Arabidopsis thaliana: one gene and its partner. The protein of the gene in region 2 interacts with the protein of the main gene of each other region in a pairwise test. Each region holds a gene or a part of one and is shown on either strand. Other genes may lie near its edges.

What was found. Proteins that work in one complex are often made in the same cells at the same time.
Region 1: the proteins of SNF4 (region 2) and XRCC4 interact in a two-hybrid assay, tested with the Arabidopsis thaliana proteins (one study listed by BioGRID).

The regions. Positions count from the first base shown.
Region 1 is NC_003074.8:8,218,980-8,222,735, reverse strand, and holds the start of XRCC4 (DNA ligase IV-binding protein), read right to left. Parts: upstream 2,055-3,756; 5' UTR 2,016-2,054; coding exon 1,826-2,015; intron 1,736-1,825; coding exon 1,593-1,735; intron 1,497-1,592; coding exon 1,368-1,496; intron 1,200-1,367; coding exon 1,077-1,199; intron 955-1,076; coding exon 745-954; 3' UTR 718-744; exon of another isoform or gene 588-717; intron 373-587; coding exon of another isoform or gene 1-372. Other genes in the region: RLP37 (receptor like protein 37), read left to right, coding at 1-372. UniProt on the Arabidopsis thaliana protein: May be involved in DNA non-homologous end joining (NHEJ) required for double-strand break repair. May bind to DNA. The LIG4-XRCC4 complex is probably responsible for the NHEJ ligation step, and XRCC4 may enhance the joining activity of LIG4.
Region 2 is NC_003070.9:2,903,124-2,906,879, forward strand, and holds the start of SNF4 (sucrose nonfermenting-like protein), read right to left. Parts: upstream 1,740-3,756; 5' UTR 1,090-1,739; coding exon 965-1,089; intron 818-964; coding exon 730-817; intron 297-729; coding exon 120-296; intron 1-119.

The DNA of each region.
Region 1 (3,756 bases), on a different chromosome or scaffold from region 2:
CCTCGAGGTCTCGGGAAACTCTCGTTTCTCTCCAACATCAACTTCTCCCACAACCATCTAGAGGGATTGGTGCCACAAAGCACACAGTTTGGAAGTCAAAATTGTTCTTCATTCATGGGTAATCCCAGACTCTATGGACTCGATCAAATTTGTGGAGAAACCCATGTCCCCATACCTACATCGCTGCACCCCGAGGAACCTTTGTTGGAACCGGAAGAGACAGTTCTGAACTGGATAGCAGCTGCAATAGCATTTGGACCTGGTGTGTTTTGTGGATTAGTGATTGGACATATTTTCACTTCATACAAGCACAAGTGGCTTATGGCGAAATTTTGTCGAAACAAGCGCAAAACCACCATAGGTACTTCTTAACACTATCTCTCACAGTTCCTCTAAAAATTCATCTAAGTTGTTGTCGAGAAACTACCTCGTCATGTGTTTGTCTTTGTGATTTTTTTTCTTTTGCTTTGTAATTTTATGTTTGTAATATTTTCTCACCATTTGGTAATAAAATATGGTTCGTGTGATGGTCTATGTTTCTTAGTTATCACAATTTGGGGCTTGAAGCTTTCTAACAATCAATCATGCCATCTCTAAGTTATTGCATTTACTTTCAGAAGTAATACAAATTGTAAATTATTTTTTTAAACCAAAGAAGGTTTGACAAACAATTTTCCTAGCTATGAGTTTGACAAAACTTGGAATGGAAACTCTGACCTGAAAATCTCACGGCAGGGCAATCTCTTAGCTTCGTGCAGCTCTCTTCCCGCCACGGGCTTTGCTGCTTGTTGCCTTTTTTGAGGCTTCTTCCTCGCTCTTCTCATCATCACTTCTTCCACTCTCAAAGCTTTCAGCTTTGTCTGTCGACTCTTCCTCCTCAACTACTCTCACTGAATCTTCTTTGTCCCTTAGTGCTCTCAGTTTTGCCTTCTTTGCATTTAAAACAGAAAGAAACTGCATTGACAAAAAAAAGAAGTAACTAACAGATCATAAAAACCAATGACTCTAGTTTAAGCAAGAACAAACCACGATGTGGATATTAAGCAGAGTAACCAAGGTGATCGAATAATTCATACCTTTGCATAAGTTGCACTCTCAAACTCTGTTTTTTCGTCACAGAGTTTTTCACCTTGCGCTAGACATCTCTCAGCTTCACTTCTCATCTTCTCAAAAGATCTCGTCTTGTTCACCACTTCTTCCTGTGTAAACACTAAAGTATTGAGAGATTGACACATATCTTCCAAACACAAATCAAATTGCCATTTCTAACAAAGCATAGATCAAAGAACTTAAGCTCTAATTCATCATCATTCTCAAACATCACAACAAATCCTCACAATTCAGAACGTACAGTATAAGAGTCATACACTTAGCCTTATGTTAGCCTCCATAAGAAAATCCAAGATCCCAACAGTGATCTTCTTGCTATCATCTGATGGTTTACATTTCCACCTCCACTCAAGTTTAGTCCCTTCCTTCTCAAACGTCCAAGAGAGCTTTAACCAAAACACAATCAAAGACAACAACAACATCCAAAAATCTCAGGCTTACTTCAAAACACTAACGAATGATCCAATAAGAAGATCACTGACCCGTTTAGATCCCTCTAGAGCATCGGAGAAACTATAGACCGAATTAGGTTGTTGAAACCCTAAGTATTGCTCGGCGAGCTTTAAATACTCTGACACAGGCTGGTCCCATTGTGCTGCTCTCTCCGCCACTTCCTCCTCCGTCGCTTCAATTTCGAGCAAAACCAAAATAAAAATCAGATTCGAAAAACGCTAGAGGCTAAGTGATAGTGTGAATTTAGGGTTTTTTTGTTTACCATTGCAAATCCAAGAGGAGGAACCATCGGTGACGGAGATATCGAAACGAGAATTATGCCAAGTGCCTTTGACGAAAATTGGATCGGCGCCGGAGATTTCGAGACGGAGACAAGTGTGTTTCGTTTTCTCCGATTCAACCATTGTTTCGATAAAAGTCGTCGACGAAGATTTTGAGTCAACTCCGATCATAATAATGTCTATAATTTGTTTTGGTTTTGCTTACGTGGATGCTGAGTCAGCTTCGGTATTGTTTTTTTTAAAATATATTTAGTGATTTTACTTAAAAGAAGTTGTTAAAAAAAAAAAACTCCCATTACATATAGACAATTTAAGTAATTATTAATTTTTTTTTATTTTTTTATCACAAGTAATTAAAAATTAACAAATTACTGTTTTCATTCAGTAAATTAATTAGTAATTATTACTTTGAAGCTCATCAAAAGATTGAAGAATATCTAAATTAGTTTGGCAAATCTTTGTATTTTGTATCCTAACCGAAGCTTATCTTTAATAAATAAAAAATCCGTTAAATGTTGTTACTTACATTTCTTTTTAATTTTTTTAATCATACTTTTTTCTAATAATATACATATAATAATAAAAATGCCTTTTAAAAGAAAAAATTATATTATGTGTTTTCCTTTTTAGTATATTGAACTCAATAAGAAAGTAACTCCACCACTATTGTTGGATGATAAACGATGTTAATATGGCATGGCACAATCGTATGATAAGAGTTCATGCAACTGTGAATGAGACGAAATGCAGTTATACGGATTTGAAATTTTTTCTAAAGTTTATTCAGGTCGCGCCTTAGTGGATTTTATACAATGACGTGATTTTTTTTATGTATAATGTAAAATTAAAATAAGTAAAACTTCTATAAATTAACAGTCGCTCATCAATAACTAGAGTCTTGTTTCTTAAAGACGATGACGACCTATTAAGTTATCTTAATGAGAATGTGGACGATATTGAGCCCGAGTGGTTTATTCTTGACATTTCCACCATTCGTAGTGCTATGATTGGAGCAGCGGGTTGGCCTTCGTCCATCCCCAACTACAATCCCAAACATATCATTGAGAATTTGGGGTGTAGATTGTTAGGACTTCAATTAAAGCAGCTACATCATTAATACATAATTTGAACGGATCAATTGAGGAGAAAGCTGAAGGATGTGGTTACACAATTTCTAGAGTTTTCACACAGGATGAGGATACAATTCATATAACTAAACTCTGCAAAACAATACAAAAAAAATTGATGTAGTAAAATAATATAATTGAACTCTGCGTAAAAAACCAAACAATACTAAAATCATATTTTACTAAATTTTCTTACATATATTGATATTAATAAGTTTATACAATTCTTAGTTTATGATACTAATGAAACCATATATTTCTATAGGATTTTTGAATAAATTATTACTTTATTTATTTTATCAAATAATGTTAAATATTATATTCACTTGACTAGAAACCAAATTTTTTTATTAATTTATAGTGATTACTAATTTATCGAATATTAATCAATAGATGTTTTTTGTACAATTTATTCACATGTTAAATTTAAAATTACAATTGTGCTCACTTCATTTCTTTACTTAGTCTACATTATCTGGATATCGTATAATTATTAAATCGTGTTCATCATCACTGTAAATATACTATTTTAGATTTAACTTTAGTGAAATATGCATATAAACATTAACATGTTTTAAGTTGATTTTCATATTTAAATTTATCTTATTGTAATGTTGATTTTTTTTTTGGCAAATTGACAAATTTATTTTGATTGTTCGAGCATAAGAAAATAACTGGTTACTATTATAAGGTACATGTTAAACTATTAATGATGTCACAGAATCTTAATTAACAAATGTATTTGTCGCTAAAGACTTCAGACTTCTAGTTGTCTTTTTGGTTTG
Region 2 (3,756 bases):
GGATACCAACCACGGATCAAAATTAAAGAAACCAAACTGGAAGCAACTCGGGAAACCTGAACCATCAAGCAGCGAGAATAAACACTGCATTTTGGAAAAGGAAAGGTCAGATTCCTTACCGTTCGCAGGAAGACATCATCCACATCCATATTCGACCGGCCCAGTGTCTCTGGGCTAAAACCAGCAGGAACCATATCTGGCCCAGTTATAAATATTGTATTCACTACTCCACCATTTCCGCTTACAAATGGTTGGTGCTCATCGTGCCGCCATTCCCCATCAACAAAAAACTTATACTGCATGAGAATGAAATAACATAAATGTAACATTAGTGGCTTCTTAAGCATCTCACATTGTAATAATTAAAATCTTGTTATATATAGTACATCCAACTGCCAAAATATATGAATCTCTATACACACACTGTAGCCTTTATTAAAAGAAGTGATTTAGGTATCACACAGCATGAAGACCCCAACTTTTGTTATGTGGATGGTGATGTATAAAGTCAAATTTTGATCAATTAGCAAGGAAATTTGCAATTTTCAGCCACAGTCATACAAATATGACAGAGGTATATAAGATTCTCATTGCATAGGTTAAGTATCCAGAGACTAAATGAAGCACAATTATGGACATCGCTAAATCACTACAAGGACATAAATGCTTCTGCAGGGATTAATTAACAAAGAATTTGCCATGATACAGGTCGAGTACAAGATTATTAACCTGATGATATCCTGGCGTCAAGTTGCAAATGACTTGAAAAACAGTAGGGCAGCCCTCGAGCGGTGACATTGGCACATGCTCTGTCCACCTGTTCAAATGCCCATTTCAGAAATCAGTCCATGGACTGCAAAACCCCGATAGATACTATACAGAGCACATACTCTACACAAACCCCGATAAATAGCTTAACTGAAATATAAAGTAAACTATCCTAGTTCAAGCTCAGTCATCTCACCTGGTGAAAGATCCGCTTAGGAAGACTCTTCTACCTCCATAAGGCCACACGAAGCGTGTCGGAGTAAGAAGCTGCCCTGAGGCAGCGCTGTTTCCACGGCTGCTATCCAATGTAGAACCAAACATCCCCTCCCAGTAGTTATATAGTTACAATCCACAGAAACTAATTCCTAAAAACCTTCTGAATCGATTCTTAATGCGTAAAATAATCTCGACTCTTCAGCAGAAGAAACAAAACCCGGTGAAACTTCAAACTTCAACGCTTACACATGCAGAGAGTCCGAATTCAATAACGCTACCATAAATTCCAGCAACCAGTAAACCGAAACCCTAAAAGCCCAAATCACGATCTACAACGAAATTACTGAACTCTTCCCCCAAACCTAGGTAGAGAAATTCCACCAACACGAAACCTTGTAAAAGAGCCCTAAACTCAAAGCACGAACGATCTGGCTACAAAAGCAAAGGTCAACTGATTGACAATACACACCACCTGGAAAACGTAGCTGAAAAATTCCGAGGAAAAGAAGGCAGAGGAAGTCGCGGCTCTGATCTTTAAATTCGGGGAGTAGAGAGACCTCGATGATGATCGGAATTGATTGAAGGGAGGGAGCAAGAATTAGGGATTTGAAAAGTTGGAGAGAACCCTAAATAGAGAGAGTGGAGATGGCATTGTTTGGATCTGGGCAAGGAATGATGTTAATGGTCTTTCAAGGTGAAGAAGAATCTGAGGGCGAAGAAGCGCTGCGTAATGAAAATGTTGTTTTTAATCCATCGACAAAGATATGGTTTTTTTTTTTTTTCTCTTTTTTATTACTGTATACAGTTTTTCCGATAACATTTAAAAAAAAAAAAAAAATTCTACTTTTACATAACTGATTATTCTTCTCTTTTTTCATAATAAATAACTATATGAATTATGCAAATAATAGCATCTAATATATAGTTTTAGTCAACTATCTAATAAATCATTTCCTATATATATAATATATCACATAAATGTTATGAATAAATTAGACGAGGATCCAAGTTATTAAAAATATTTCCACTTTAAAATTGTATCTAGTAAATTCTTTTTTTGGTATTATTTTTTTAAACTCATTTGTCTTTTCTGATGTTAAACAGTACTATAAATCAAACAAAACCAAACTAACATTCAAAAACGTTTCAAAATACACTTTTCTCTTATTCTCTTGTGTTTTGAAGCAGGGTAAATAAATAAAGTAAAAAGAAAAGCCATGTTTTTTTTTTCTCTAATTTTTATTGTGTCAACTCTTATAATTTCTTAAATTAAAGAAAATAAATCATTACATCCCACACCAATTTATTATCGGGTTAAACATAATCCATGAAATTACATTGTACATCTATTCTCGGTAGACATGTAATACAGGGAGACAATCGTGTTGTCTTCCAAGTTGACATTATTTGAGGGAGAGGAGACTTCATGTTTGAACCCTAGGCATGCAATTACATTTTATAGTAGATTTAGCCTTAGAAAGACCTGTAAATTAGGGCTAAAAGCCTAAAACCAAAACACGACCTTGAAGAAAAAAAGAGTTCGGTTTCTAATTAGTTTTATAAACTCTAAATAATCGAAGTGATGTAACTTTTATTTGTTGTGAGTATATATTTTTAAGTTGGATTTGAACTTTCTTATAGACATGACTTTATATAAGTGTATATATCTCGCTCTTACTCTAATGTTGTTTATCTTTTTCCTCAAAACGTATATAAGTCCCCCGGCCCTCTCTTTCAGTACTATTCTATATATACACTTACTCTATCTGTCGGAAAACAGCAAATGAGAAAGACATTTGTAAACAATGGTCATTTTGGCTTGTTGGTTATTGGGCAGCATTCACGGTCGCTGGCTAGTATGGACAATTGGATATATATACTCCTTTAATGGTCATAACTTTCATCTCAAAATCTTGATCGCTATATTTGGGCATTGAAAAACAGGCCAACAAAGTTTTTTTTTTTTATCTCATAAGGGCTCTTTTTAATATTTGGAAAGTCTTCATTTGGTTACATATTGTTAGAACATCTTTGGCTCTCGTCCTAAACATCCGTAACTCCTTCGTCGTAATTCTGGTTATGTATATGATCTTTGGCTCGGGAACTAATTCAAAGAGTTCTTTCTTCTTCTTTTCTTTCAGTTATGGGTTTTGCATCAGATTTCGAGAAGAATTTCTTTAGCCTCCACTGAATACATTTTTCTCTTAGTCTAAACAACTCTCCAATTACATCACATATGCTCCTTCTTTCTTTCTTTTTTTTTTTGATATGAAATCAATCAAAGTGAAAAGCTTAGATTATACAATATAGCATAGCCTAGTTCTTTGTAACCTTGCCCAAAAAGGAATTTAAGGAAACATCAAAGCTGGGAAAAATATTGGGAGACTAACGCGCAAGCAGTTTCATTGATGGTTCTTTCTCTTTCGGGTACAAAAGTCAAAATCTGAGTTTATCATTGATGGTTCTCTTGTAGGCAATTTCTGATGGTTCTCTTTTTCTCCTTCCAAAATAGATAGTCCATAACTCTTTGTCCGTAAGTATAATTTCGATGATTTTTGTTTTTTGTTTTACGAGAACGTTCACGTCACCAGAAGTATAATATCATTGAAATTAGGTTTGGAAGATTACACAGTTTTGTAAAAATAGTTAAATAATTTGTATACCAATTTTTCTTGCACATTCTTTATTTTGTTTCTCGTCAGTCAAACGAAAACCTAATCTGAAATATATATGTGTTCTTACATAATGCCAAGCTTTAAAATTTCATTAGAA